Linked DNA regions of Struthio camelus. The protein of the gene in region 2 interacts with the protein of the main gene of each other region in a pairwise test. Links are inferred from orthologs where the notes say so. Each region holds a gene or a part of one and is shown on either strand. Other genes may lie near its edges. The genes, in order: ARHGAP19, ATXN3, DNM2 and PHAF1.

What was found.
Region 1: the proteins of ATXN3 (region 2) and ARHGAP19 interact in binary tests that used the Homo sapiens proteins (3 or more experiments, as listed by UniProt). The link is inferred for Struthio camelus from reciprocal best matches to the Homo sapiens genes ATXN3 and ARHGAP19.
Region 3: the proteins of ATXN3 (region 2) and DNM2 interact in binary tests that used the Homo sapiens proteins (3 or more experiments, as listed by UniProt). The link is inferred for Struthio camelus from reciprocal best matches to the Homo sapiens genes ATXN3 and DNM2.
Region 4: the proteins of ATXN3 (region 2) and PHAF1 interact in binary tests that used the Homo sapiens proteins (3 or more experiments, as listed by UniProt). The link is inferred for Struthio camelus from reciprocal best matches to the Homo sapiens genes ATXN3 and PHAF1.

The regions. Positions count from the first base shown.
Region 1 is NC_090948.1:16,953,462-16,961,370, reverse strand, and holds the start of ARHGAP19 (rho GTPase-activating protein 19), read left to right. Parts: upstream 1-4,903; 5' UTR 4,904-4,911; coding exon 4,912-4,982; intron 4,983-7,909. Other genes in the region: RRP12 (RRP12-like protein), read left to right, coding at 10-59, 367-445, 722-789, 1,237-1,319, 1,539-1,641. UniProt on the Homo sapiens protein: GTPase activator for the Rho-type GTPases by converting them to an inactive GDP-bound state.
Region 2 is NC_090946.1:65,726,968-65,734,980, forward strand, and holds the start of ATXN3 (ataxin-3), read right to left. Parts: upstream 3,042-8,013; 5' UTR 2,910-3,041; coding exon 2,886-2,909; intron 2,496-2,885; exon of another isoform or gene 2,396-2,495; intron 1-2,395. UniProt on the Homo sapiens protein: Deubiquitinating enzyme involved in protein homeostasis maintenance, transcription, cytoskeleton regulation, myogenesis and degradation of misfolded chaperone substrates.
Region 3 is NC_090972.1:4,735,696-4,743,719, forward strand, and holds the start of DNM2 (dynamin-2), read right to left. Parts: upstream 3,029-8,024; 5' UTR 2,885-3,028; coding exon 2,724-2,884; intron 1-2,723. Other genes in the region: uncharacterized protein, read right to left, coding at 3,818-4,022, 4,226-4,364, 4,765-4,925, 6,247-6,473. UniProt on the Homo sapiens protein: Catalyzes the hydrolysis of GTP and utilizes this energy to mediate vesicle scission at plasma membrane during endocytosis and filament remodeling at many actin structures during organization of the actin cytoskeleton.
Region 4 is NC_090951.1:21,617,134-21,624,027, forward strand, and holds the start of PHAF1 (phagosome assembly factor 1), read right to left. Parts: upstream 3,051-6,894; 5' UTR 3,018-3,050; coding exon 2,810-3,017; intron 1-2,809. UniProt on the Homo sapiens protein: Plays a regulatory role in autophagic activity. In complex with BCAS3, associates with the autophagosome formation site during both non-selective and selective autophagy.

The DNA.
Region 1 (7,909 bases), on a different chromosome or scaffold from region 2:
GTGCCGTAGGAGCAGATGAGGAGATGGCAGATGTGCTGCAAGAAGTGGGCCTTCGCAGTGTGAGTATGGGGCTTGTGATCTGGAGGGGATGATGGGGTGGGCTTGGCTGGGCTGCGCCCCTGTCTGTGCTGCAGCAGATGCATTTCTGACTGAGAGGCCAGTGGGGACACCGGGCAAGCAGTAGCTGCTTGGAGAAGATGAGGATGGCCTGGGTCAGAGGACTTGCACAGGGAGCCTGGAAGGCCTTGGGTCCCTATGGGAGGAGGAGGCAGAAAGCTCTTTTGCCTGGTGGAGATCGCAGGTCTGTGGGAGGGCAGGACAGTAAGGACAAGCCAGTTGCAGGGTCCCCTCTTCCTCTTTCTGCAGAAAAAAAGCCAGAAGCGTCGATTCAGAGAGGAACCAGATGATGAGGAGACAGAGTCTGGAGCCTACCCTCAGTACAGAGGTAATTCTGTCTGTGCCTGGTCTGTGGCTCTCCACGGAGCCAGAACCATGTACCGTTACTGCTGGGCTGCTGCAAGGTGGCTGGAGTCGAGGTTTTTGCTTTTGTGTGAAATTGTCCCACTTCTGTGCTTCTCTTCTCTCCTCGCACTTAAGAGTTGGAGGCAAACAAGGGAGCAGCTCCCCTAGCCCTGGTTCCCTCTTGTGTAAGAGCTGGGAAGGGGGAGCCTGGCCCTGGCCCTGAGACCCCTTCCTGAAACACACATTCCCTCTTTTCCAGCTGGAGGCTCTGGGATCCACCGGCAGCTGGGCAAGGAGCCAGCTTTTGGTGCAGAGTACAGATCCAAGGTGAGGGCCCCAGGGGGTCGCAGGGCTTTGGAGAGGGGTGCCTTGGGCTCTGCTGGGGCAGGAACTCCCATCAGGGATGCCCTGGCAGGGCAGACGCAAGGTTGCTGTTGGCCTGGGGGGACAGGAAGCGCTAGCTCTTTGCTGGGGTTCGGCCCAGCGCTGCTGAGGCTGGGGGGTATCGGCTCCGAGGGGAGTTGCCAGACGCTTGGTTCGCGTGAATGTTTCTAGCTCATCTTGTCCTTGCCGTTGTCCTGCCCTCGCTGTGCCCAGTGCCTGCTCGCAGCAGGTGTCTGGTGCTGCATCACAGGGTGGGAAATCTGGCCCTAAAGGCCTTGGCCTCAGTTGGCGTTGGCAGTGCACCAGAGCCTGCATGCCAGGGTTGCCCCAGAACGGGTGCAGGCGTTTCCTTTTGTGCTGCGTCTTCTCCCATGCTGGTATCTCCCACAGAAAGGCAAAGGTGATGTGAAGAAGAAGGGCCAGCTGGACCCATACGCCTACATCCCCCTGAACAGGGCCAAGCTCAACAGAAGGTAGGTGGAGCTGGGAAGGGCACAGGGTGGGGAACAGGGCCGAAACCAGGGTTCAATCCTGGCTCTGCTTTGTTACGGTTGCCTGGGGGTCTGGAACCTCTCCACTGGCCTCTATGCTGCCCCTTGCAGAGCTTGGAGCAAGCCTCTGCGTTAGCCGGCGGAAGAGCTGGCTGTGCCCAGTGCCTGTGCTAACCAAGCCTTGTTCCTTCCTCCCCCTAGGAAGCAGGCAAAAATGCAGGGTCAGTTCAAGGGCCTGATGAAGGGGGCCCAGCGAGGGGCCCAGGCTGGCCGTAGGAACCGTCTGAAGGACCGTCGTCCCTGAGGAGCCTTGGACGCTGTCTGCATCTGCCTGAGGAGTGACAGCACCCAGTCACATCTGGGCACCAGGGGACAGAGTCTTGTGTGGGGACGAGTGGGGAACTCCTCTGCAGGAGGTGGCGTGTGCCTGCTTGAGCCTCCTGGGAAAGCCACCCCATTGCATTACGGGCTCGTGGCCTAAGCCCTGTCCTCCCGCGCTGGGAGGAAGGCAGCAGGTTGCCTGACACTGTGCCCCAGTGACCCTGTTTGGTATGTGCGTGAGAGCAAGTGGTGTGTAATGAATTCTCTGCAGTGATAAATACCCACTGTTCCTACCCAGCCTCGATTCCTCCTGTCTTTCCTGTAGGAGCTGTACGCTCTGCCAACTCTTTCTTGTTGGCTGAACTACTGCAACCTCACTGTGCTGCCCGTTCTCTTACCAGAAAAGCTGAGACAGGCCCTTTCCTCTGCTCTGACCACCTCTCACCAACTGGACCTGACCAGCACAAGCAGTCCTGGATGTTTAGCTGCCCTGATGTTTCAGGTTGACCTGAGCATCCATTTTTACCCTGTTACGGCTGGTGTTGGCCAAAGGGCCCTGGAGAAAACAAGGATGGAGCTGAGGACAGTGGATACGCTACAGCTCTGGGATGCGGGTCCTGTGGCAAATGGCTCACACTGTGAAGAGCATGTATTTATGAACGTATCTGGCTTTCCTTTTTTCTTCTGTATTAAAAAGCTTGTAGTCCTTTGTCATTTCCTATCGTGGTAGCTTACATGCTGGAACTATAATGCTTCACGATCTCATCATAAGCTAAACGGATTGTGATTGTTCAGCCTCTTACTGCAGGCTTCTTCCTGGAGGTTGCAAATCCAGTTTTGTGGCTCCTTTTTGTGCTTTTTTTGTTTCTCAAGATCCTTTTAAGAGCCTGGGTGTGGAGGAGGAGCTCTTGTGCTACTACTGTTGCTTGTGCCTTGCCAGGAGCGCTCTCTCCTTCCTGCTTCTCCACCCAGGGATCTCACTGGACCTCTGCATGCAGGGTTGTGTGGAAGTGCTGCTGCTCTAATCCTGCCACCTATTCACTGTTGCTGACCTGAAGGGTCCCATTCCCCCAGTTTTGGAACTTGCTTTGCGTTTCTTATTCCTACCTGGAAATACGGTGTATGGGTCCAGTCCTGGCTATCCTGTGGGGCAGCCTGTGTTACTGCCCCCAAACTTCTTTAGTGGTGCACCAGTCTTTACAGTCTTGGCAGCGAAGATTTTCATTATCTGACCTATGCTTAAGTGTTGCATATTAGCTGGTCAAGAACATAGGACAATTTTATTGACAAAACTCATAGGCTGTTATAGCCTAGATGTACTCAAATCCTCCTCCCACAAGGGAAGAAAGCCTCAAGCCAAGGAGGAAAAGTTGTACTCTAGGGAGGAGGAAAAAATAAAAAAAGAAAACCCAGACATCCTGGAGATGGAAAGGCTCTTCCTGTCTCCCTGTGCCAAGGTCCACTCTCCTGCCATGTCCTTCCCTGCCTGCAGAGCTCTGTGATGCTGATTAAAAACAGAGCTGGGGAAGCAAGGACCCGTCCTGACAGGAGCGGAAGGGACCGCAGCCCTGGCAGCCTCCAGCAAAGCCTCCTCACCGTGCTCAGCTCTGTATGACACACTCATGAAATCTCAGGATGGGGTGGGGGGGGGCAGACAGCAGTCACCTTCCTGCAAGCCTGGAGGCCTGAAGGAGAGACAGCCCACAGCCAGAGAAAGGACCAGTAGCTGAAACTCCTGCTCCAAAGCTGTGGTGTGTCATCTGTGAGGGCCGACTATGGCTGCACAGATAGCGGTGGCTGGTGTTTCTGCGTGCCCCAAAGTGCCATTGCATGAAATCCAGATAAACGACAGCCAGGAGCAATGGGACTGAGCCAACCCTGTGGGGGAAGGTGTCCTGCCCAGAAAATGCCCGCTCAGACCATTACACCAGGGTCTGTGTTGGCCAACACCTGTAATACGTGGCTCCAGGCCCCTCAGAGCTACCTGTCTTGCTCTTTTCTATCTCTTTCTTCCTTGGAGACGGGGACTGCAGACGGCTGTAGCTAATTCATTTAGAACCTCCAGATTATTCACTGTATTGTTCTTCATTTGCATGTTGTCGCTTAAATTAGCGGTGCCTGCCTGGAACAGAGGAGTTTCATTCGCGCGGAGGATGGCGTTCGCCTGAGCTGGTGTCCGGAGAACAGCTTCTTCTGCAACAACACCTTGTTAGTCAGCTAATTAATCATGTAACGCAACAGCAACCCAGGGAGGGGCCGTCCTCGGGACGTGGCCCCGAGTCCAGCCCGCTCCCAGGCCCAGCCGCCCCCGGCAGGGAGCAGAGCTGCCGGCCCGGCTCCCGCTGGAGCCCAGCAGCGGAGGGTGACGGCACCTCTCGCAGGGGCTGGGCACCCATGTTTTGTGGATACCCCCAGAGAAGCCCGAAGCGGGGGGGGAGGGGGGGCTGTGTGGGGTCTCTCATGGGGCAGGAACGGGGGGCATCCCGGCAGCAGATGCAGGTGGGCCGAGAGCTCCTTTTCCATGCAGCATGGTTAAACCACAGAACTGCTTTGTTTCATGCTAAAATGCTTGGCGGTGAGATAACTTAAGCCTGGAGGTTTAAAATGCCAAGGGACAGCTGAAGCTGAAATCCAGTCAATTAAAAAAAAAGTCAGTTTAATTTCTAGTCCCCTCAGTGCTCTGATCTGCAGTTTCCCTTTTTGTTCCTAAAAAGGGTTGTTTTTTTTTTCTCTCCTTTTCCTGGTTGCTGCCTGAAAGCCTTGTGCAAACCGCAGTGGAGCGAGTGTGCCAGGGCAGAGGGCCACTGGCCCAGGGCAAGGTCGGTACTTCCACACACAAGGGAAGAAACCAAGAAACAAACCTGCTTCTGACGGTTTATATTTAAATATAACTTAAGTTTAAATTAATTTTCACCGACTGCGCGTTTTGGGGAGGGGGAAGCCTGCTCAGAGGGGCCGGGGCCGCGAGGAGGGGGAGACGAGCCCGCGTGGAGGCAGGCGGGCGGGCGGCGAGGGACGCCGGCCGGGCGCCGTCCCGTCCGGGCCCGCGCAGGCCCCCGGCCACGGCGGCCTACAACTCCCGGCATGCTGAGCGCGGCGGCGGCGGGCGGCCGTTTCCCTCCAACCGCCGTGCGCGCGGATCGGCCGTTGCCCGTTCGAACGGGCCAATGGCGGCGGGGCGGCGCCGGCTGCAGCCAATGGTGAGCGGAGGGCCGGTAGGGGCGGGGCCTAGGGGGAGTGGTGCGGCGGGCCAATGGGGAGGCGGGGCGGCAGGTATGAGATGGCGGCGGGAGCGCGGGCGCCTGGGGAGCGACGCGGTGGCAGGTAGGAACAACGGCGCCGCCGCCTCCCCCCCCCCCCCCCCCAAACCGGGCACCGGCGCCCTCTTCCCCCCGGCCCGTCCCCCCAAGTTCCTTGGCGGCAGCAGTGGCCGCTCGCTGCCCGGCCCTCGCCTGTCCCACGGCGCTGCACTGCAGGCGCCGCACGCTGCGTGCGCCGTCCCGGCGGCAGCGGGTCGCCGGCAGGCGGGCGCCCCGCAGGCCGGTCTCTCTCCCTCGGCCCGCCCATTGCGGCGCTTCCCCTGCGGCGCCAGGATCTCGCCCCCCCCCCCCAGCCCCGGGGTTGCTGCAGCTCGGGGGCCCCGCGGTGCCGGTGTTTCTGCCCGCCCGTCCCGCCCCGGCGCTGCGCACCCCGAGCGTGTCCCTGCTGCACTGGCACCCCCCCCCCCGCCCCGGGAACGGACCGTGCCGTGCCCCCAGGTACCTCACTGGTCCTGCGGGGCAGGTTCGGGGGTGATCAGGCTGGGTCCCTGTGTGAACCCCCGGGCGGGTTTGCTGCGCTTGGGCTCCGTCACCCCAGGACCTCGGTGCTGCGGTCCCCCCGTCCCCGTGGGGTCAGCCTGAGCAGCTGGGCAGCGCTTCCCGCAGCGTCCCTGCAGTGCGTTGCAGGGGGCACAGACCTCCCTGTCCCGGAAAGCCGTGCTCCAAACCACCTACCGTGGGCCGGAAGGCTGTCCTCATAGGGAAGCGTGTCCCTGCATTGAAGTCAGCAAAGGTGAAAGCCTCCCTTGCAGCTCTGCTCCTGCTCTGATGCAGTCACTCGCTGCCTGCAGAGGCACAGGACGTGCTGTGGCTAGGCTGGCTCATTTCTCCTGCAGCCGCAAACTGCGACATAGTACTGAGTGCTTGGCAGTTGCACGGTTTGGTAGGGTGATGGCACTATATAGACTTGTTTCACAGCTAAGCCTTTTTCTCCCTTGCTTTGTCTGCTCTGCACACATTACTCTGAATTTCCAAATACAGGTACCCTGTAAGGTCAGCATGATTCACCTTTGTCACATATTTTAATATGCCTAACTATTTTGTAATGGCTGCCAGTAAAATAGTGGCAAATGTATAAGCATGTCACTGGAACAATATTCTGGGATGACTGCCGAAAGGCTGTAGCATCTCGCCCCCCAGAATGTGCGGTGAGGTGCTGCAGACTGAGTTTTCCTTGGCTGGTAATTCGTGTGGACTCATGAAATAAATGGTCTGAAGGGTGATGCCTTGTGCCTGACCTGACTCACAGCGGTGCTGTCCTGTTCTCTGTGGAGCAGGACCCATATCTGATGGCACTTGCTCATCACGTGGGGGACCTGCTATGGACCCCCAGAATGGGGGCCAAGCATTGCTCTGATAGGAGGGAAGCGTTCTGCTCAGTGCAGCACACTCGAGCAGGGAGCACCTAAAATGCTGTACCTGGTAGAGGGTAAGCGCACTTTGTGGAGGTGATGCTTGGGGTGCTCCTTGGTGTAAAGCATTTTAAATGTGTCCTGGATCAGTATGAATGATTGAATTTCTTTGCTGTGCAATGACAGTTGCCTTTAGGATGCAATCCTCCAGCTCTATCTACCCTCTCACAAGCAACTGTGTTAAAGCAAAGCCTGAAGTACAAGGTTTTTACTCCAGCACTTTGTCACGCACAGATACTGCTAGCGACTTCATCTCTTAGTTTACAGGTCTACCACTGCAAAGTATTTTTAGAAAAAAGAAAAAGAAAAAAAGCTACAACCTTTTTCTTTCACCCCATCTCCTCTCATCTGGAGAGAGGCACAAGTTAGCTAGTAAAGCTCACGTGCTTTGCGTGTGGTCTTACAATGTGCTGACTTAGAGATTGAAAGCTGGTTGTCTCAACCTCCTTACCAAATGTTACTGAACATGACAGAAGATGATTTGTGCAGATGTCTCTTCTATTTGTGGTGACTCTAACCTCTGCCTGGCTCTTCATGACTGAGAGCAATGATTGCGGTGTGCCTGAGTGCTCATTTCCAAAAAAGGAACATCTGTCTGTTTGAATGCATTTGATATTTGAGTCAAGCAGTGCCTAAGCGCTTTGCCAGGCACTCAGCATTCGTGTTGGCCATCTCATATGGCAATGGTGAGATAAGTGGAAGAGAAGGAGCTGTGGGCCTGGAAAGCAGGATGCACTAGAAAAAAGCATCTTGCTAAAACGCCTGGAAAAGTGTCACTGAACAACTGGACAAGAAGAGTTTACATCTTAAATAGGCGATGAAAGGAGACATAAATGCCATCTCTATTTTACTACAAATAGAAATATGTTCACTGCAAACATGACTTAGTGGCAAAAAGTCAAAGTGCCTTGCTAGGGTTACACAGGAAAACTCGTTGATTTTTTGAAGTAAAGCCAAGTCTGAACAGATGGCTACTTTTCTCAGAAGACAGCCTGAAGCATGGGATGATCTTATTCAACTATTCCCTTCTCCACAGCTCTCAAAAATCTCTGAAACCTAGACTTGCATTTAATCCTCTGCTCTGTCCAGCCCTGTCAGGCGTGCATCCAGACTTGAACACAAGGCTAGCTTGCATTTGCAGTATCTTTGTATGTCTGCATGTAACGCTCCCTCTTGTTCCCATCCAGGGCCTGGATGGACTTGGACAACAGGATCCTTGTTCTGCTACGCTTCAGCGTATTGTCTGTTTGCATGAAGGGGGAGCATTGCTTGCCCACATGTCCCAAAGCAGTGTCTGGGTCTCATTGCCAGCCTGGTCATTGCCTTGTTGCAGCGTGCACATTTACATACATATGAAAATGTCACTAGGCTTCGTTAATGCTGCTTTAAAGGTGCCTGGGCACTCAGTTCAGTTTGAAACTAAAACTCCCTTGTGCTGGAGTCAGCTCTGGAAATCAAATTCCTTGGCCCCAAAAGCAATAGTCTTCAGTACATGGTAGTTTAGTAAGTCGTGCAAACA
Region 2 (8,013 bases):
GGTAAACTATTTAAAGACAAGGCATTTTACATACTTTGTTATGTATCCAGCGCCCTGGAGATAACACAAATGTAATATATCACTTTTAGACTATCAATCTAAATTAAAAATGAATAAATTAGAAGTGACAGTTATTATTTTGTAGGATAAGTAAAAAAAAAACCTGAATGTACGTCACGCTCTTTCATTCTCATAATTAGTGCAGATAAAAATGCTACCTTGCTTAAAAAAGGAAAACTTTAGTAGCCAATAACCGTTATTTTTAAAGAAATAACTAAACTGCAAGTGCAAAATAAGATTCACATCAGTTTTGAAATCTAGGTTTCATCTTTGCTATTTTAATTAATCCTTCCTATTTTTGTTTACCTTAAAGTACGTGCACTTTGAAGAATAAAAACAGAAACCGCAACCAAACAAAAAACAAAACAAAACCCCCAAAATCCCAAGTACCAAGGGCATGCCTTGTAGGAATATTCTTCAAACTTCTATGACAGCCTCATTCAAGCTATATGCACAGATCTGCCATGGTTCATCCCTTAAAGCAGGAATCTCAAAAATTTCCTTTACCCCAGATTACAAAATCTTCCCAGGGCTTTATCACTCAACTAAGCAATGAGTTAAGGCTGGACTGGGTGTACAGCTGGGGTCTAACAGAATTCAGAAACCTTCTCCACCATCCCGCAGCTTGTGTTCTCCCACTGCAAGAAAGACCGCATCCTCCAAGACCACATCCCTGCTGTTGGTCATATGATAAAACTAAAGCAGAGCAACCTGCTTAAGAATTGCAAGTTTCTCCACCAAAACTACTTGAAACCGATTTAGGAACAAAGAGAGATTATAGTCTTTGAAAACAAGTTGTATGACAGTGTTTAAATCCAGTTTCACTGAAAGGGCATTTCTATATTTGTACAGAAAAAGTTTTATCTTAAGACAACATACATTAATTTTTCATATGCATGATTTGTACGTATTAAGGGTAAATGCAGAAGACAAAACTGATCTTACAGTTTGTAAGAAAAGTTAAGTTTGTTTTTTTGTGTGTGGAGAACACAATGCTTTTTCCATAATCTTAAATCTCCTTGTTGAGATCTATCTCGATATAAAACTGTTGCCCTGCTTTTGGTGTTTTCAACCACTTGTATCATGTAAGAGAAGGGGTCGAATTTTAAGAAAGTGGCTCCTTAAGCCTGGAGGAGGCCTACTTTGGGCATTTGCCATTCTCCCGTGGAAAAAAAAAAGTCACATTGCTTAGGTCTTTGTTTTGTTAAAGGTATCCCTTTAAAAATGTCATTTTTTTCATGCCTCAGTTTTTTAATTAAAACTTCTGAAGTGTACAAGTGATGCACACAGGCATTCAACGCTCAATATTTTGTAGTGCACTCAGGAAAAAAAAATACCACTTAAGAAAAAAAAAAAGAAAAAAGACATAGTAGTTCAGTCAAATTTTCCCTAGAATAGTAATTATAACAAAATAAGATGAATTTGAGTGCCAAGTATTTTTAAAACAGACAGCCAGGAACATTAATAACTGGATAACTAACTTGCTAAAGCATAGTTGCATACCATTCACAAGCAAGACGTCCCAAGAACATTAAGATAAACAAACAAAACCACTCCTCAATAAGAACTTGTAGCAACTACAAATGACAATTAACTTGTAACTCTGACAGTATTATGCTCTATCATTTTAACTCTACCAGAGTTTTATTATTCAAAATCAACAAAGCAATTTCCTCAAAAACACTTTATGTTACTATTTCCTCAGGTGACAGGCTAGGCTACATAAGAGAAAGGTACACTTGATTTGAACTCATTATTTTCAAATCTGGACTGGAACTCAAGGTCACTGTAACACAGGCTGTAATGACTGAAATCAATACTTATCCCCTGAGCAGCAGCAGTTTAACACCCCAAGCATTTGCAAAGTTCTGCTATCCAAATCCAGTGAAAACACACTCCTCAGGTTATACAAATTCCAGAACATTAAAGTTTGCTTTATACAGTTATACAGCTAGCTTGTTTGAGAACAGTGTATAAGAACTAGCATTAATCTTAACACAATAAAGATGTTATGACATTGGCAAAGCATATGAGGAAGACAATAGTACTCCAACAGCATTGTAGCACACACAGTTGGCATTTGGGAACCTAGATAAACCACAAGAGTTAATGGAAGCATTTCTCCTCCAAATCAGGAAACACTATTTAGCATACAGAAGCACTGCACATGAATTAGCAGTGCATTAGCATGGATTAAGGAAATCCTTAACAGCACTCTCTTTCCCTGCTCTTCACACAACTCAAATCAAGGCAGGCTAAGTGAAGAGGAAAGAGAACATAACAGGAAGAGTCAGAAACAGTCCTGCCTGCCCAGGCTACACACCCTCACACTCACTTCTCAGCCGCAGAAGCTCTCTCTCAAGAAACAGGAACAGCATTAGCCTGCACTTCCCCGTAGCGGAGGTCTACTTTCAAAGGCCCGAGAAGGGAAGTCACTGGGTGAGAGGAAACGTCGAGGCTCGGCCCTGGCTTTCTTTGATCTCCAGTATAACGTTTCCTTTTCCCACCGAGCCGGAAGACTTCGCAGAGCCAAGCCGGGCCGCAGGGTCCGGCAGCGCGGTGCGAGGGGGCCCAGCTCTCCGCCGAGGCAGAGGGAGTGGAGCCGCCGCCTCAGCCCTGCCGCCAGAGGGGGCCCGGCCGCAGCGCGCCCCGAGGGCCGCCCCGGAGCCGGGGCCGGGAGCGGAGACCCGCCCGCCACCCCGTACAGTTCCGCGGAGGGAGCACCCCCCGGGCCCGGCGACACCGCGACTGCCCCCCACCCCGGCCCCGGGTGGGTAAAGCTCCGCGCGGAGCGGAACCCTCCCCTCCCACAGCCCCTCACTCACCCGTTCGTGGAAGATAGACTCCATGTTTACTGTCAACGGCCAGCACCCTCCGCCTCACGTGACCCGCCCCAGCCAATCAAACCTCGCTTTACCGGGCAACCCGCCGCAGCCCGGCCGCGCGGAGCCCCCACCCCCACGGTAGCCGCCGGCAGCGGGGCGGTGCGAGCGCTGCCTGCACGAGGGCGCCCCCTGCCGGTCGGGAGGCCCTGCTGCGCCCTCGGCGGCACGAAGCCGGGATCCGCCCCCCGACCTCCCTGCGCCCTCGAAAGCTTTTCCCGTATTTCGCTTGGTTTAGAAATTTAGAAATCACACAGAGAAGTCGGCTTCACTGCTGTCTCTTACCGCCTGTCAATCCTTTTCATTCTCCTGTTCTCTTGCACTATCACAAAGCTACAGTATTGCCACTGCTGACATTCCAAAGAAACATGTCTAAAGAGGAAATCTAAAGAGAAAACGGTTCAGATTTCAATTAAAAATATATAAATACGTTCTCTACCACATTTTGGATCTATATTAAATATTCCTTTAAACATTGTCTCTCTATGAACTACATGAATTTTACACCATACAAATTAATAACGACATACATGCTTTTTGCATAGTTTTTCTTTATTACATAAGTCTTCCTCCCTCTTTCAGAGTATGACTTCCGGGGATAAATGTTTCTGAACAGGACTTGTACTAGTCATGTAATTATCTTTCAAAAAGGAGGACTGAAAATTATAAACTAGCAGAGATGAATCGTAGGTGTTCCTTTCTGCAGCCTTATACGTTCACTCAAGAATAAAAACTGTAATCCTGTTCTTTTAACTTGCTATATATGTTGATTGAACAAGTGAAAATATTTCCCATTTCATCAGCAGCTTCTATTTCCATGTAGTTTCTTCACCAGGTTTCAATTCTCTGTGTGGAAAGGAAAAAGAAAGGCAGGGGAATAACATTAGGATCATTTCTGTAGGATAATTACTAAAAAATGTAAGTTTTAATTATTATAGAAAACCTTGATGTAAGCTTTCATTATTATAGAAACCTTGACTGAAATATATATTAATTATAATGAATAAATCTGACTTTCTTTCAAAGTGTTGTGTTGTCAGTTTAGAATCTTTCAATATGGGTAAATGTTCTCTTTTTCTTTCCAAAGCTGCTTGAGTCCGCTTCAATTAGTTCAAACGTGGGCACCGAACACCTAACCTCTAATAACATAACAAACTTTTTGCATAACAGGGCCTTATTTCTTTTGAATAGAAAAACATCATTACTTTACTGGGGAAAAACAAACAAACAAACAAAACCAGAGGAAGCTTTTGCAACATACTGAAAGGCCAGTGCAATTTAACCACTAACTGCAGTGAGAAAAGTGCTAATAACAGTGGCGTGAGCAGTGGGCGTGTTACTTTACTTTCTCACTCAGAATTATTAGCCCATGGGACACCAGAGTAAAAAAAAGTCACTTGCAAACCATATATACCAACATTTCTACTTTTCTTCCAGTCTGTGATAGACTAGAATTAGTAATTATGCAGCATGATTCTTTTTCTGCTGTTTGGTTAACCCTGCAGTCTTATACAGATTTAAGAGAACTGATCTAGATGAGGTAGCACATTTAGTTATCTCAATTCTCCCCGAGCAGTAAGCCAGCAAGCCCATACCATGGGTATATAGTCATATCCTCAGTAAAGACACAGCAGTTGCTAACATTAAACGTTAAACATTCAAAATACAGAAGCTGGGTTAATTTAAAAAAAGACGATAATTATGTAAATGATGCAAATTTATACAAGTATTTACATGCTATATATGTATACATGCTATGTATATATATGATGTCATACTTTTAAACTTAAGATATAATTTTACTATAATCCACTGAAAAGGTTAAAATTAAAGGAAAACCCAAGTACTATTTGCTTCTGCTGAAGTTTTAGACAGAGCCAAGATAAGGTTTGCACAGTTTCATGGCTAAGCACTTGGCAGCAGTTAGTATGATTAACAAGCTTTGGAAAGCTAAAGCCTTTTATACCAATGCAAAAATACCTTCTTTTTCCAAATTATTTGATATCAAATCAATATTTAGTTACTTAAAATGGAAAACTAATTGGAAGCTGAAAAAGATCACTTTCCATTTTCAATACACAAAAAAATGCAAGAGGCTGCATTTTCCCACCTGTAGAAAAATCAAGGACACGGAGAATACGGAAATTCATACCTACAGACTACTTCCCTAGCTTAATAAGTTACTTTACATTAAAATATGTTTTATAAATTTGTCCCCTCCCTCCCCCTGCAATTATCACATTTAACATTATTTTGTTAGGTAAAGTTTGTCAGAGCTCTAGTATTGTGCATTTAAGTGAACTTGGTACGGTATCCAAATGCAGCTAAATAGGAGGACTCAAAAACATTTCCAGAAGGACTTAAGGGAAGAGGGGGGGAGGAGAAGAGTGGTTTGGAGGTCCTCCCCTTTTCATACACTTTCTCCGGGCCCAGTATACAGAAAAATCCATCTTAAACAGTCTCTTCAGAAGTACAGTTTACAGAATGTTTCAAGTGGTGTTTTTACTTCAACCCTTTGAGATTCTTTTTTATTAGTAGTATTTCAGACAATGTTACTTTTATTTAAAAAGGAACAGTAACAATTTCTATGCAGCAAAGACTGTGTTAATATGCCATGTTAATTACACTGTAAATGGTGAAGTATAGTGGTTAAGTAAATGATTAAATTTTATTTGAAGATTTTTTTCCTAGCAACATGAGTTTCTTATTTATGCACATATTTAGGTTTCTATTTATTTTTCTAGTCATCCTTTTCATAAGTCTACTTAGACATAAATGAAAGTGTCTTAACGTTTACTAATTCTTGCATTTGTTTATCTTGCTTCCAAGAATAACATTTATTTAAAAAAATTTTAAGTCAATTATCTCAACTAATAGGTCAAATGGACAGAATCGCGCACACTTTCTTTCATGACTTATAGCACTAAGATGGGCCCTAAAGCACAGATTTTCAGTAGGCATTAGTCACTCAAAACTCTTAATGAAAGTTGACTGAAATTTTTAGGGCTTTCTTCCTCTTAATATTTTGACAGCATTACTGACTTTTTTTTGTACTTGAGACTCTCAAAAAGAACAGAGAAGCACATCTACTTTGCAAAATAACAGAACATATATATTTTAAAAAGGTATCATAAGCAAACCTTCTATACAGCAAGCTCTTGTTTCTGAAGGCTGACAATTTTTCATCGTTCATTCTGTCCAAATAGCATCCAATCACAAATCCTAGGGGAACAAGGATGTGAACCCAGTGATCACGCACAGCTTGCATGAAATTCACCATGACTGCTAGAAAGAGAAGTGTAACACAGAAGAGTTACTGATAGAGCTGCACACGACAACTGCGACATACCTAGCGCCTTTACTCTCACGTACTAGGATCCTACTATGGAATAATAAACACATGAGGGCCATTAAACACTCCATGCAAGGTGCATGCTGTTCTCAGGTCCAAACACAGGATTCTTACAAAAAAGCTCGGTGGTGCTGGGAAATAGGATCTTATCCTAAAGCTAGAGATGAGTAGACTCTTTTAAGGCATCATTGGCAAAATAGTGACAAAATAATCTACCCACAGCAGCAAAATAATTTACCCATTAAAACAAATCTAAAAGGACAGAAATTTGCTCTCCTGCAAAACATAACACATGTATTTACAGTACCAAATCCTGCAGATGGATGCCCTAATATCAGTAAAAAGTCACAAAGACAAGCCTCGCAGTCACTTGGCCATTGACAGAGAAGCAAGATAACATATCTGTTAACTCCGCAAAGCCTGTTCCAACCTCACCAGCCCAAACCTTCCGCATGAGTGTCCTGCGGGACGATCTGAGACAGCCCGGCAGCCGTACCGCCCCGAGGACGGCCACAGACGCCGCCGCTGCTGCGAAGGGCGCCGCGGGGCGGCGGGAGGCAGGCCGCTCCGCAGCCAGCCGCGACGCCGGCCGGGCCGCAGCTCGCGGCAGGGCCCCTGCCGCCTTCGAGGCTCCGCCGGCGCAGGGAAGCGCCCCGAGGCGCTGCAGGTGAGGGCTCCCGCCGGCACCACGCAACCCGCCCCGCTCCCTCCCGCCGCCAGCCCCAGCCGTTACCGCTTGCCGCTGCCGCCGGGCCCGGAGCAGCGGCCACACCAAGGGCAACGGGCGCAGCGCGCAGGCCGGCGCAGCCCACCGGCTGCTCGGGGAGCGGGGGAGGAGCCGCCTCCCCCCCCCGCGGCGGCCTGGCGGTGGTGTCGCCCGCCACCCCCGCACTGCCCTTCCTTCTTTTCTCCCCGCCCCTCTCAAGATGGCGGATGGCGCCGTGTCCGGATGAGGCGGTGGGCGCGCGCCCCGGTGGGCTTGACCGAGGCCCGTGAAGCAGGTAGCGGCGGCCGCGGCCGCCCGGAGGGGCATCGCCGGGGCATCGCCGGGGCCCGGCGCCAGCGCTCGCTGCGGGTTCTCCTTCCCCGTTTCCCGCCGCCCCCTTCCTCCGCGCCCGCGTCCTCGCCGTGGGGAGCCGCGGCGCGTTGCCGGCAGGGCTCGGGCCGCCGGGGCTCGCCGCCGCCTCGGCGCCGCCTCGGCGCCCCACGGGCCGGGCCGGTGCCCGGCGGCGGCGGAGCCCGGCTGCGGGCGGGAGCCGCTGAGCCGCGCCCCCGGCCCGCGCCGCGCCGGGCTGCCCCGCCGGAGCCGCCGGGCTGGAGGGGCTGCGGCCCCGGGGGCCCTGCGGCCCCGCCCGGCTGCCCCCGCGCCGTCCCCGCCGAGGTGGGCGTCGCTGCTGGCTGCCTCGCTTCTGGTGGCAGCTTTTTCCAGGGGTAGCAAAGGCTCTACCCTTTTGTTTTTAGGTTTTTAAAAAAATTCCCTTGGGGCAAATAAAAAGTATTCTTTTCCCTATGTTTAAAAGGGGGTAGATCAAAAGATAGGTAATACCTAATAACCAGCAGCATTATTTGAGGTAGTGTGTAGCAGCCGTTCTCCTCCATGTTCTCAGTAGTGTAAGAAGTTAGAGGTGGCTCTATGTAAATAGACTTTTCCTTTGGGTTAGCTAGTGAAGCATTCCCTTCTCCCATTCAGAATAGTTCTTCTGGAGGTCGAACACTTGG
Region 3 (8,024 bases), on a different chromosome or scaffold from region 2:
CAAAGGCAGAATTTACTGCATACGTAGTTACCTGATTATTAACCCAAGTGCATCAAGGCAGAACAAAGTTAGTGCCGTGAGACATAAGTGAAATATTCCAGGTTACAGAGAAAATCACACAGATCAAGTCCCACGGAAAGCCTTCCCGTTCAGACCCTTTTTGAAAAGGGAGTCTGTGGAGTGCGGTTAACCCCTTAGTGAAAGCCTTCTGACAAAGACTTAAATGCTCTGAAACAAAGGTTTTTAATTACTAGGCTGGTTTTCCAGCAGCACCATAATTAGAGGCTGCCAAAACTTCCACTGGCAGCTATTTATGAGGGGTAACAACTTGACCGTTTCAACCCCAACTGCAAAGAGACTTGGCAGAACTCATCGGCCCAGATGCAAGTTTAGTCTGGCAAAGTTAGACCTGCCCTGGTCCAGCTGACTCCTCCTCTCCCTCCCACACGAACAACAACGGGCTCAAAAGGCATCCTCAATTGCTTTGCAGGCTGCAAATCCATGCTATGAATTAAACCCCTGTGAGTATAAAAGAAAAGGCAAATTGTGTCAGGTGATGCATCACAGAGCAGGCTCCGGATCCTGACCTCACCTCTAGGAAAATGTTAAGTAAGCCGAAATTTGAACTGCGGAAAGCACAACAGTGGAGAAAACTCACGCAGGCCTTTCAAAAGATCCCTTCTCTACCGATAAAGGAAGCCACAGCGACCACGAAGCCAACAAATCTAAAGCGCTGGAAAAGACACTTGGTCGGCTGTGTGGAAATAGGACGGTATCCCGTTACGTCAGACCCGACGGCAGAGCAGGGCCGAGTCGCTGTTGTGTTGTCAACGGAGAAGCAGATCCGTGCACGCTCCTGCCGGCCAGTGTCAGGATGAAATGACATCACCGGAAATCTGCTATTGTTGCTATTACGGCATCCGCCCCAGCCTCGACTGGAGCCCCGTTGTGCAATGAATTTTTTAGGCACGGCGAGAAGCAGCCCGCGCTACAGCGAGCTTGCAAGCCTAGATCAAGCCAAAGCGGAGCACAGGAACAAAGCAGAAGGGGTCAAGCAACATCCTTTACCCCGAGCGTGGAACAAGTGCACGCAGGAACGGAGCAGCATTGAGTGCCGCCAGCTCTCAGCCCTGCGCTGCGCTATGAATTGCAGGACCGGCGCCGCCATCCCCAGAACGGCAGAGACAAAAGGTGGAGAAGGCCGAAGGACTGACTTCTACCCTCCGCTCTCAGCGCTTCGATTCAGAAGCGGAAGTTGTTAGCAGCTACCACGGATTTTGAAAGAGTCAGCAGGGTCATATGAAGCACACGGAAAGATTTTTAAACCCCACAGCCTTAGCGCAATATAAAATCAGGAGCGTTCGGCTCCCCCACGTTATCTCGACAGCCACGCTCTCCTCCCCACCCTAGCGCATCCCAGGCCGCGTGTCAATCCCTTATCCTGCCAATTCCGACCGGCTCTACAGCAGGGTCCTGACACCCCTCCGCTCCTGGGAGAGGCCTGGCAGAGAGCTCAGCCCTATCACAAGGGCACACAGCTGAACGGCACCAAACACGAAAGCCGCCCAAACCCAGGTGCAGCGATGACTCCAGGCCTAAGGCTATCAGAGTGGAAACAGAAGCGTCTTTAGGATGCAACTCAGCATTAACCTTTGTAAGTTAACACAGTCATGTTGAAAATTATAAACCGGAGCAAGACCATGCTCTAACGCTGTCAGGTCTCTTGTCAAGCATCGCAACGGGATGCCGTGCCGGTTGTTTCTGATCAAGCCTGGGCTTCCCCTGTCTCCGCTTTACACATTTGCACTCCGCAGGTCAGCCCAGCGTTTCTGGAGCGCCTTCCGGGCACCCGCGCAGGAACTCAAGGATGCTGACGGCCGTCAGGACGAGCCGGCGAGGCCCTGGCACCGCTCGGCGGGAAGGCTGCGGCGGCCGCGCTCGCGGCATCCCGCGCTGCTGAGCTCCGGGGACGGGCTGCCCCAGGCCTCAGGGAGGCGGACGGGGTTGGGGGGGGGGGGGGGGGGACGCACGGCTACTGAGTCAGCAGGGGCTGGTGAGGGTCCCGGGGGCCTAGGCAGGGCCCTGTGGGGGGGGCACCAGGCAGGGCCTAGTGGGGAGTCCTGGGCCTAGTGGGGGGGGGGTCCAGGTAGGGCCTGTTGTGTGTGTTTTGGGGGGGTCCTGGTCCCCGGGCGGGGCCCAGCGCAGCCCCTCCACACCCCTGCACCTCCCCCCGGTGTTACCGCGCATCCCCAGCCCGGGGACCCCGCTCCGCTCTGCTCCCGGGCCCGGGCCGGGCCGCACCGGGCAGGCGACGGCGACAGAGGCCCGGGACTGGCGGAGCCCCCCGCTATTCACAGAGCTCCCCTGCGCCAGCGCCGCGCGCGCCCGCCACGGCCCGAGCCCCCGCCTGCGCCGCTGGCGTAAGGGCCGGCCTGTGACCCGCTCCCCTGGGCCGCGCCTTACGCCAAGTGCGTAGCACAGGGCCGGGCTGCCGGGATGATCCGCAGTTTGCGTAGCGGTGGCCGGGCACGGGGCGGGGGGGGGAGGGGGGGCTGCTACGGCGGCGCTCGCGCCCCCGCCCGCCTCGAGCCGCCTTACGCAGGCGGGATTCACCAAGCGCGCTTACGCCAGCTGCGCCGCGCGGCGGCGGCGGGCGGGCGGGCGGCTACGCAGTTTGCGTACGCGGCGCCCGCCCCTCCCCGGCGCGGCGCGGCGGGACTCACCGGCCCACGAAGTTCTCGAGCACGGAGCTCTTGCCCGCGCTCTGCCCGCCCACCACGGCGATCTGCGGCAGGTCGAGGTGGCAGCTCTGCCCGATGGAGCTGAACGCGTCCTGCAGCTTGTTCACCAGCGGGATCAGCTCCTCCATGCCCCGGTTCCCCATGGCGGCGCGGAGGGCCCCGCTCTCCCGGCGGCGGCGGCGGCTCCTCCTTACACAGTCCGCGGCGGCGGCGGCGACCAAACTTCCCCTCCGAGTCTCCTCATCCGGCACTGGCGACACCCCCGGAGGCGCCGCTCAGCCGGGCCCGCCCCGCGCCCCTCAGCCGGCGCCGCCATTGGGAGCCTGAGCCGTCAGTCAGAGCAGCCGGCCGAGCGGAGCGGAGCTCTTCGCTGTCACTCAAGAGGGAAGGCGGGAGCGGGTCGCCACGCCCCACCTCTCCCTTTTCATTGGTTTCCCAACGCGTCGCTCGTTCCTACCAGCCAATGGGAGGTGGAGCTGGCCTGTCAGCTGAGACGGCACAGCGGCAGCTCCCGCCCCAAGACTTTGTTCCTGCCATTCTATTGGTAGAGAGGACTGCCACTCCGGGAAGCTAGCGAATCGCTTCCCGAAGGAAACTAGCTTGTTCACCCCTCCCATACGCCCTTGTCATTGGACAGCTCCTCTGCCAGTCTACCAGACTGACCAACCCAGGGCGGGTACTCCCTGACGAAAAGCCGCTCATGATTCGCCAGCCAGCCGTCAATCACGAGCCCCATTGATGCTCTGCCGCTTTCTCCCTTCCCGGGCACAGCCCAATGACGTTTGGAGATCCCCTACCGTACGTCCCCGTGTAGAAGCCCATGTCTTGCTACCGCATGTCTCCGAGGCGAGGGCCGGAGGCTGCACTGGGGCCAGGGGAACCCCCCTCCCCTGGGGACCGTCACCCCCCAGCGCAGCCACCTCGGGCCACGCTCAGAGTCCTCTCTGGCACCAACACACCAGCCTGGGGTCACATTCAGAGTCTTTATTTTGCACCATCCTCCCATCACAGCCCCGCCACGGCACCTCCTTACCAGCACCCGCTGGGGACAGCTGGCCCGAGGGCTCGGACGCCCCTCACTCCCTGCCACCTTCCTTCCCCGCAGCATCCTCCGCCGTGGCGGGAGGTCCGCGGGAGGCCTGCGCTGCCAGGGAGGAGCGGGGACGGGCCCGCGGGCTGCCACGGCTCCGGGGGCACGGCGAGGCAGGGGCCTGCATGCCCGTCACCAGGTCGCTGAGCCCTGCGGGGAACTGGCCGGCGCAGAGCAGGTCCGAGCTTCTCCTGGAAAAGAAGGATGGGCTGAGCACCCCTCGCCTGCCCCACCGCGAACGGGGCATCGGGCATAGGTTACGACGAGTCCCAGTGCCAGGAGGCTCCAAGCCCTCGCAGGAGGCAGCGCGGCAGACGGCGGCGCAGTTGGCCGAGGTGGCCCCCGGCACGAGCCGGCGGGGAGCACCGGCGCTCTCCGTCCTGGCGCCATGTACCTGAGGTCCGCGGGGCTCTGGGGGCCGCTCCCCGGGGCGAGGGGGAAGGTGGGCAGCGAGCGGCGCTGGCGCCAGAGGTAGCCCGCGGGCAGGTCCTGGGGCAGGTCAGCATCCAGGCGCTCCAGGGGCAGGGCCATCTCTGCGGCAGGGAGGGCAAAGGCACCGTGAGCCTCCACCCCACTGCGTCTTGCTGTGCGTCTTGATGCTCATGTCAGACTTGGGGAGCAGAAAAACCCCTTTCCACACTGCAAATGCCTTTGGGCATCCCCAGGGCAGCAGCTGAGCCCCAGCACCTGGATTTCAGGATGCCAGGACCAGCAATAGAGGCCTCCGAAATCCAGGTGGGACCAGAACACCCTGAGAAAGCTGAGTCCAGCGGGCCGGCACCTCCTCCAGGCTGGATTGGGAGGGCTATCTGCCCCTGTTACCTTCCCCAGCACAGACCAGCAGGGATTCAGTGAGAACCAGCTGGACACTAGCAGGGTGTATCCCTCTTTCTAAGGGCAATCCTCCCTCCTCCAAGCACCTCGCGGCCCTACCGCTCCGGATCCGGCTCAGCTCCGGTCCCAGCAGCTTCCCATCCATGCTCAGCAGGATGTACTTCTCCACGCGGAGCTCCGGGCTCAGCTGGTCCACCGTCCGCCGGTTCGGCCGCTCCCGCGCCTCGGTCCGCGCGTCGTGCACCGTGTTCATCTTCCAGCTGCGGAAGGGAAGGACAAGACAGGGTCTGTCACGTTGCTGGTCACTTCAGCGCTGGGCTCGGCCGGAGCCATCCCAGCCAGCCCGCGAGGAGGTCTGCGCGGCGTCGGACAGGGATGCAGCCCCATTCCTGGGGGTGAGGGGCTGCCATCCTGGCTACCCAGCTCTACAGCCCGGTCGCAGCCGCATCCCAGGCCGTGGGCGCTCTTCCGAAGCCAGCAAGGCTGCACCCGTTGCAGATGCTGGCTCTCCACCATGTCAGGTGGGCCAGGGAGGGATGCTGCAAATTTTGGACACATCTTGGCTATATATCCTAGCCATAAGGAATTGGGGGGGGGGGGGGGGGGAAACAGGGATGCCCAGAGAACCATTCCTCCTCCAGCTCCATTTCGTACACCACAGGCTGCAAGCTGGACTCATCCCCAAACCACGAGGCCTTTGTCCCAGGGCTGCGAACGGCACCATATGCCCTGGTGCCAGCCCGGCTGCACCCACAAGGCTCTCCTCTCGCTGGAGAGATCAGGCAGCCTCGCTGAAACTGCACCATCATCCCTCTGCGGAGAAATAAGAGCCGTTCGGACTCAACGCCGTGTCGTTTACGGCCCCCAGAGCCCCCATCCAGCCAGGGGAGCTGCGGCCTCCTCCAGGCAGCAGCCCCCCGTCCCAGCCATTTACAGCAGCGGCGGGATCAATCCTCGGTCCGGTTTCGCCCCCGGCAGAGCCGCCACCCGCGCGTCCCGGGGGCTCTGGCAGGCTGCCCGTCGCTCGCTAGCCAAGGTCAGACCCGAGGGTGCCCGGCGAGCTGGCCGGCGCTGCCCTGCTCCCTCCCGCGGGGCAGGGCCCCTCTCCGGCCACGCGCGTGGAGCCGGATGGCTGCGGCGGGCCGGAGGCAGGGGAGATCCGTTTCCCCGCTCACCTGAGGGAGCCCGTTTGCGCTCCACGGAAGCGGGTTATTCGAACCCGCTCGCGTTACCATAATCTGGGCTCAGCCATTTCGCTTGGACACAAGAGAGCTGCCCCACCGGAGCAAGGAACACTCTGTTCCTAGAGGAGGAGAGGAAAGAAGAGGCAACGAAGCAGAGGAGACAGGTTGGATTTGTTGGCACCGCTTTCTGCAGATGCACCAAGCCACAAGCACAGCTTTCAGTCCCCAGCGATGAGGAGGGAGGGGCAGCACGGGAGGCTGCAGACGGAGATGCCAGCAGCTGCTCACTATTTCCCCTTCCTCTCCTTCTCTCTGGGAAAAACTAATTAAATCCCTTGCTGCATTAAGCAAGCCTGTTACCAGATTTCCAGCGGCAGATTTCTGAGAAAACCCTTGCCTTATTTCTGGAGGAAGAGCAGATGGAGGGGCACACGGATCAGCTGCGAGCAGGCCAGACCGCTTCAGGCTCTGCTCGCAGAGGTGACACAGCTCTGGGAGAGACTTGTTCTGCAAGAGCCCAGAGGAGGGAAAGCTGGAGCTCGATCCAAGCCAGGCTGTCGCACGGCTCAATTTCTCTAAGCGCTCATCCTTCATCCAGCTAGTTAACGCTGGAAACAAGCTCATCGCACAGTTGTGCGGTTCCCCCCCGCCCCAGGAGGGCCGGGATGAGCTGCCGGCTGCTCCGACACGTGCATCGGCAGGACATCCGTGCCCCCGCCAGCCCACCCCGGGCAAAGAGGGGCTCCAGGGCAGGGCTGCCGGCAGCGTGCCCGCAGCAGGGCCGGGCTCTCCGTCCGCGGCTGCAGCATCCCTCGGCCCGCCCCAGCCGGAGCGCCCCGCAGAAGCGGGCTCGGGCGCAGCCGCGCTGGGCACGGCGCATCCACGCAGCTGAGGCCGAATTGGGCCGCAGAGCGCAGGCACGGGGCCGCTTTCGCGGAGACGCGCGGGAATCAGCCGGGCGGCTCTCGGCCGGGGCTCACCCGGCACCGCCGGGAAAGGTGCGGGACGCCTCGGCACGGTGCGCGCCGGGTCTGCGCCTGGCCCCGGCCAGAGTCCCCACCGGCACCCTGCTAACTAGGGAGGAGGAAGGTTTTTTGGGTCATTTCTGAAGGCTTTTTCCATTTAGCATTTTAAATGCAAAACTCTTATTTGTAACAGGATACTGCTGCTATATAGGACCACCCCACAAGCAAGACTAACAGCTGTTGAAGTTGGAGCACAAGGGAAAAGCTTCCTCTGAGCCCCTTGGATGTCACCTCTCTGCGTTTTCAGGCACATACCTCCTTGCTTTAGGGAGAAAGCCCCCATTCCCCCTTACCACCAGGTGTTTAATGGAGGTCCCGCACCTCCAAAGGAGGTCTGACATGGGTAGGCAGAGCCCCCTGCGACAGCCCAGCCTCGACAAGCTTTCCACCAGGCTCCCCTTAAATAAACTACGGCAGTTTTGGGAGCTGGCGCCCCAGCCCCTTGCTGAACCAGTACCCTTCCCAAGGGACGTTACTTACTTCAGACCGACCGGGTCCCACGCACCAATCCAGGACGCGCTCCTCTTTCACACTAAAAGCTATTTAGGGGGGAAATGATGTTCTGCCAATCTAAAGAAACAGGAACAGTGATTTATACCAAAACAGGGACCATTCCCACAGCTCAGGCTCCCCACATGCTCCCTCATAGCTGTTCCCCAGCAGCTAATCCTCCTTTTATACCCACGCTACCCTCAGACGACCTGATGGGGGGCACCTGGCCCTTACCTGGCCTTAATATCCCCCCCCTTCAGGACCCGGCTCAAGTGCCTGGCTGCTGATGCATAACTCTCTAAGCTAGTACCTGCTCCGAGTGTTTGGGGCTAGGTAGCCCTCCAGGCAAGGTTATTTCAAGGTTATGGTGAGAAATCCTGGGTGCGCTCGGAGGAAGGGCAGAGCTCCTCTTACATTGCATGAGGGGAAACTGAGGCCGGGCAAGGCACCGGCTTCCCCCCGCGAGGCCGCCCCGCTCTCGCTGGCACCAGCGATGGGGGACGGCCAAGGGCGAGCGCCTCGGTCAGGCCCTGGGGAGCTGCGGCCGAGGCCAGGGCCGCAGCGAAAGCCGGTCTGGGCCGCGGGCGGCGAGGGGGGCAGGCGGGTCTCTGCAGCCGGGGAGACCCCAAACACGCGGGGACCGGCTCTGCCGGGGACG
Region 4 (6,894 bases), on a different chromosome or scaffold from region 2:
ATGAAGTCCAGTTTGTAGTCTGATGTAAACTGATCCAATCTTGGGTTCGTTGAGTGTGCAAACAGATAGCTCACGTGACTCTCTTACTCAGAGCTTTCTCAAGCAGCAAGCAAACGGAGACGGACTGATTTTATTCAGTTTTCCCAGATTGAGAATTAAGCTGATTTTCCTACACGACTGCTTAGCAAAGCTATGAATAGCAACGCAAGTTCTCCAAAAATAGTTCAAAGAACCTAAAACATAGGTAGAAGAGCCAATATCCTCCCTTTGCCTCCATTAGTAGAGAGCCAAAGAAGGGGCAAAGAAGCTAGGTTATTTTTCCTCCACCCTTCTCACACATACATGCAAACACCTCCTTTTCCTCAACAGTGAGCAGTCTTTGCAGCCAAAGACGACGACAAAGAATGTTTTTCTCCTGCTTATGAGCTGGGGGAAACTGGGAAGCAAACATGGTTTCCAACATATCGGACAGTCAGCCAAAGCAAGCTATTGCAAGTAAAGCCCACAAAGTTCAGGTCTAGTACTCTGCTGTCACATACTTTCCTTTCCCCTTCTCTGAATCCTGGAGTGATACAAGATACTCCTCTGACATACACTGGTCACAAACATGTCTTGAAGTTTTATCCCTTTGACTAAAAGCAGGGAGCAGACAAGTGAATAAAGAATAATAAAAAAAGAATACAACACAACAACGTGAGAGAAGAGGTTTCATAACTAAAATAAAAGAGAAAGGAGTCAAACTTAGTTGGAAAGTATAAAAAGCAAGATAAATGTAAACATGTCTTAGAAACTGTAAGCATGTCTACTGCTAATAACACAACCAGAGGCAGTACAAAATAAGTATTTAATTGTTCTCCCTCTTTGAAACTTCAGGAACATAGCCTCAGAGATGGCAGTGACACAGGTACCTAATTGAACACAGAACTCAGTCTTAGTTAAATTTTTTTATGCTCTGGTCAGATCATGAGTCAATGCTGGAGCGAGAAACAGAACCCAAAAAACTCACGTAAAAAATTTTCCTGGCATTCCCTTCAGGCATCTCCATTGTGGGTACAAGACTGGAAGCCAGAGTCAGCAGCAGCTCAAGAACACTGCCATTAGTTTTGCTAAGAGCAGATCTAAACAAATGATGAGTAGTACACCCCCGGCAGCCAGAATCCCACTTATGCTTAGGCTTCCAACCTCACTACCACCAGCGCAGTCGAACCAGCTTTTATCAGCAAGGAATTTTCATACAGTACTGCTAGCAAAGGACAGAGTTAAGTATCTTAGTACCTAGTCAGTCCCTTGCTCTATACAAGCAGGTCATGCTAATTATATATTAGACATGTCACGTGGTGGCTATGTTTACTCCAAGAATTACAGCTGAGCTTCCTCTCCCTCACATCTATGTGCATGTGTGTGTACACATATACACAGTATATAATTTTAATCGTAAGACTGCATTAACGGGCTCCTTGGGAAGGAGAAAACTGTCTTCTCTCTTTGTTTTTATAGGGAGAATCAGGGGGCAGGGAGGGAAAGCCACTACTACACACTTACAACCATCGCTAGGGCACAGAATTTGAGATTTATTTTCAGGTAATACAGATAATAAAGGATCACAGGAGGACATGCAGAGTTGAGGGAGCACAGTAACATGTTAGTGGTATAAGGAGATCCCAAAGATTTCAAAGGGTGGGATGTGAGGTACTATTATTAGCCTCCAAAAGCCTTTCTAACACTCCCATTAACAATCAAGTTGTACTTGATTCTGAATTCAGGGAGGTGTAAACAGCCATTGGGGTTTGCCGGGTTTCATATAAAGAACTCTGTAACTGCCCCTTTGGTGCGACTAAAGTTCACGGAGCCTGGTCACGGAGCATGTTTTTCATCCAAGAGCCTGCCCCCTGCTATCACAGGTGACAACAACAGCAGCAGAAATAAAAGCGTAACTCAAGTTCTGGCAGAGACAAATGGCTGCCACACAGAGCCCTATTTTCCTTAGCCATCTTACTATCACAGTTAACTGTGCTTTAGACAGAGCAACAGCAGAGATGAAAAATCGCCAGAAAAGGAGTCAAATGCTGAAATCCAAAACAATCCCGTGAAAATTAGGACAGCTACTGTAACTTCGGGAAACTTGAAGGACTAACAACGTAGGCTCGAAAATAAGATCATCTGAAGAATTTGTGCTACCTAAAATTCAACTCTGTGCTTAAGAGCTCCGGGCTGGGCACCAGCTAAATGTACATTAGCTGGGAGAAAATTCTTCTTTCTCACTGCACTAAACAGAGGAATGACAGTTAGGGAAGCACCTTTCAGAGAAATAAAAAAATAAGGGTATAGAGAATCACTGGAAGGATAAATGCTTATCTAACCCGGGGAAAACCTCTCAAAAAAAGCTCACTTTCTTCACTATAATGTCGCAACCCAGCAGTAACACAGAAATTGTGAAACCGCTCGTATTTACAAAGGACTTGGGCAGAACAGCGCAGTATTTATGCTAAGTATTACTACACAGCTGAAGAGACTGACATCACCTGACCCAGAGTTTTCAGATTACGACCGATACATCCGTGTCGCCTCTTTGGGGAGCTATTTAAAAAAATAAAATAATAATAATGAAAAGATCGGTCTAAAACGGCGATAAGAAGGAGAGTGAGGAGAAGGAAGTACACAAGCCGGTAGCACGGCTCGGTGTGCAAAACGTGACCGAGGAGGCTCTCTGCTCAAGAGCTGCTTCAAGCGCCCACCGCGATGCAGCAAGCCAGGCTCCGGGCCTCCCCGCTCCCCGGCTCTCGCCGCCCCGGCCCCGGCCCGGACTTACCCAAGGTGAACTCCCATTGCTCGTTCCCCAGAGACCGCTCGGGCACCACCTCCAGATCTAGCATTGGCTCTGCCAGCGTCGAGGCCCAGGGCTCGCACAGCAGGTCACCGAGGCGCTGCGCTGGGGCCCTGCGGGGGGAGCGGACCGCCGGGTCACGGCCTGCGGCCTGGTCCAGCCGCCGCCGCCGCCCCCCGCCCGCCGGCCCCATCCGCCGCCGCTCCGGCGCGGCGCGACGCTCCAAGCGCGGCCCCGGCCCCCGCCCGCAGGAAGCTGCTGGAAGCGGCGGCGGGGGGGCGCCCCCCCCCGACGGGCCCGGGGCCCCGCGCTGAGTCACAGCGGCGCCCCCGGCCGCCGTCACCATAGCAACCGCCCCCCCCCGCCGCCGCCCCGCGCGCGCGCGCGCACCCGCGGCTTCTGTCCCCTCCCGACCACCGTCCCGCTCCCTCTCTTCCCTCCCCCACTCCTCCTATTCGGCCGGGCCCCGGGAGCCACCGCCCGGCCCCCCGCCCCCGGCGGGAAGGGGAGCCCCCGCTCCGCCCGGACGTACCGACAGCGCCTTCCTCCCGCCGAGGGGGGGGGTTATATCCCCCCCGCCCCCCGCCCCCCGCACTGCGGGGCTGCGACTCACCTCACTTGCGGCTGCTGAAAAAGTGCTTTGCAGCTGTCGTCAGGCGAGCCCGCGCGCGCGGGGGGGAGGGCGGGACGACGGGAGGGAGGGAGCTGGGGGCGGGGCTCCAAGGAAGGGGCGGGATCTGGAGGGGGAGGGGCCAGGGGAGGAGCAGCCGCGGGAGGGGCGCCGCCCCGCCCCCGCCGGCGGGGGAGGGGGAGGGTGTCCGCCTGGCAGGTGGGAGGCCGCGGGTTCGAGCCCTGCCTCGGCCGGCCGGGCGCCCCCCCCCCCCCCCCCCAGCCACCCCCATGGCGGGGGACCCCTCACCTCACCTCCGCGCCACGTCCCAGCAGGCGCCCGCCCTGCAAGAAAGCCAAGAGACGGCGCTTCCGCCTCGAGGCAGGGCCGCTGGGCGCCGTGACTGGGCCCGAGGCACCCAAAGGCGGGTGCCCGGGGCCGCTCTCCCGCGTCCGTCGGGGCTCCCCGGCCCCTCCGGCCCGCCCGCGTCTCACCCTCCCGCCCAGCCGCCGCCGGCCTCCTGGCCCCAGCCGGATAGCGGCGCCGGCTGCATTAGTTACCCGCGTATTAGCTAACGCGGGGTAAGAAAACACCTTTTTCCTACCGCCAGCGCTCTTCGATGGGTGAAAAGCGACACGTCCGGTTAATTCTGCGCAGCCCGGGCCGCGCTTAGCGGTGGGGAAAGCTGCTTCGCAGGGGGCCGGCGGGCGTCCCGGCGCTCGCGCTCCACCCCGGCGCGCAACGGGGCTACGAAACCGAGCGAGCCGGGGCCCTCACGCGGTAACGGCTGGCAGATAAACTGAAGGACCTGATGGTGAGGATAGTTCTCCCGTCTCTCGCACCTCTTTGGTTAGAGGACGGTGCACCAGAAAAGAAGTTGTTCCCAGTAAGGGCCCGTCTTTCCCTTAAATGTTCATTTGTTTGTTTGTTTTAAACAAACTTTCCTGGAAAACCTACTTATGATGCGGGGTGTTTACTGACCTTACGTCGACCAGGATTTCACGTGCCTGGAGGAGGCCCTTGAGAAGACGGGTTTACCATCCATGACAGAGAAAAAGATGCTTTTAGATGAGGGGGTTTTTTTTGTTGTGTTTTTTTTTTAAAAAAAGAGATTGTATCAGTAGACCTAAGGGAGAAGAGAAGAAACAGAAAGGTCACAACATATGAGGAATTAAATTTTAGGACTTCTGAATTTTTTTTTTTCCCCACTTCTTCCTTTAAACAGGAGAACCAGCTTGCTAAACCAAAGGAGACAGGACGCTCCCCATGAACAAGCACACTCACGGTAGGGGAGACACTTCAAGAGAAAGCAGAGTAAAAAGGAACCAGAAGGACAACCCAGGGCTAACGGTGGAGAGAGACACGTTGCTCGGAGACCGCAGGACTCAGGAAGCCTGTTTCCCATGGGTTTCGTCCATCACCTGCCTCTTCTCCATGGGTTCTCTGCTGTCTAATAGCCAGGTTGAGCGCATGCTGCAGCCCCTCTTGCTGCAGAGCCTCTGAATCGCGGCTGCCTCTTCCGCCAAGCCATTTCATATTCCAGTACTTTTAAGACCTTAACGGCTTGGAGACCTCTCCTGTCTGTGTCAGATTTAGTCGACGTCGGCTAACCAGTTCAGAAGGTATGGTGGGGAGAGGGGGCCGGGCAGGCCGGCAGACACGCAGCACAAGCAAAGTTCCCTTCCTCTGGAAGCGGGCCAGAAAAACAGTCAGCCGGGATAAAGCACTCACTGACAGCAAGACCGTCCATTATATTATAAGAGGACAAGCCAGTAAAAAGAAATGAACTGGGGATTTTTTTTGTGTCGAAAAAGTTTCCCCTGACACGCAGTAAGGAGGCTCAGCGGTTCGTGGGAAGTTGCCGTCCTCCGGACGAGACACGAAGCTCCTGTCCCTTCTGGGGCTGTCTGTGTTAAAGAGCTCATCACATGTTCTGAATTGAGTAATGCGATAATCTCAGCAGCTGGGCCAAGAGCCTCTCGATAAAACAGGGACTAGCGGCCAAGTCTGAGAGGTTGATCCTGGCCTGTAATAGCTCTGCCATTTGCTTACACAGCTCCTGCCTGACTTCCAAAATCTCATTACTCTCTAAAGTGCTTCGAGATACTTGTGTATAAAAGGTTGAGGGGAAACAAAACGCTATATTCTTTTCAAGTGCCTTAAAGGAAAAGGCAGAAATGGGAGGGAACATCTTCTTTCTGGTCCTGCTACTCCTGTATAAAATCACGCCTCTAAATAGATACACTGATGAAGTCATAGTCTAGACAGATCATAAGACTGTATTGTGAATAGTTTCTGCCTTTTTTTTTTTTTTTTTTTTCCAAAAACACACATAAGGATCAGAACAACTGAAGTGACCTGGAGACCCAAGCTGCTCAGGGGCGCGGACGGCCCCAGGGAAGCAATCGCAGCAGGTCATTTATCCGCAAAGAGCTGCGGGGCGAGAGTGGAAAGTGCAAGCCTGCAAAATCTCTTTGGAGCAAATTTGCCCAGCCGTTATACAAAAATATCCACCCCAAATGTCAGTAGAATGTGTGGACTTGATTATAACAGAAAAACATCGTTCCTCTTCCATAGCTGGCAGGAATTAAAAGGCCTTTCTTGGCCTCTCCTGCATGCTAACATCTGCACCACACCTGCCCATCAAGGCAAACTGCCAACCACACCAGAAACACAATTCCCAAAGGTACCATCCTGCATGTTTTTACATGTGTACCCCTCTGGTTTAAAGGTAAGCCCGTGGCAGAAAAAAGTGACTCTTGTTCCTTATGCAGCTCCAAGTATCCCGGTGGTTTCCGTGGGGGCTGTAGCAGGCCCAGAGCTGACCAACGTTTCAGTGCCGCCTCGTCCTGCTGCGCCGCATGGCAGAGTGGGTGGACTTAAAATGGTTTCTCCTGCCACTGCAAATTGTTCTCCCTGGGAGAGACAACAACCCACTGCCTGGTTGGTGGCTGTGCAAACAAGCCAGCCCCATGCTTCGCTCACGCTGCCTGAAAAAATCTCCCTCCCTTCCTCTCCACCTCCACACCAGTCTGGGTCCGCCTTGCTGGGACAGCACTGGTTGCTCTCACGGAGGAACGTTTTCAGCGGGACTTTTCAAGATAGATTTAGCTGGAGCCACTCACTTTTTTGCTTTGGCCAAAAAGAACATTTTTTCCCTTGAAAACATGCTCACATAATTAAATTGGACCATATTGATCTATATGGGGATGAGAATTTATTGAAATATTTGTTTTAATCTAGCCCAAAATTTATTGTTTCTCATATAACATAAACCCACATGTACTTTACTGCACCCCACATAATCAATGCAATGGCATCCAAGTGAAATACGTTGGAAAGTTCCAACTTTCAAAAAGAACCGTAACCAAAAAACTAAAGAACAGGATTCAGCTTTCTACCTCGGCAAAAGAAAAAGGAACATGCCAAAATACAAAAAGCCCGTTCTCTGCTTTTGGCA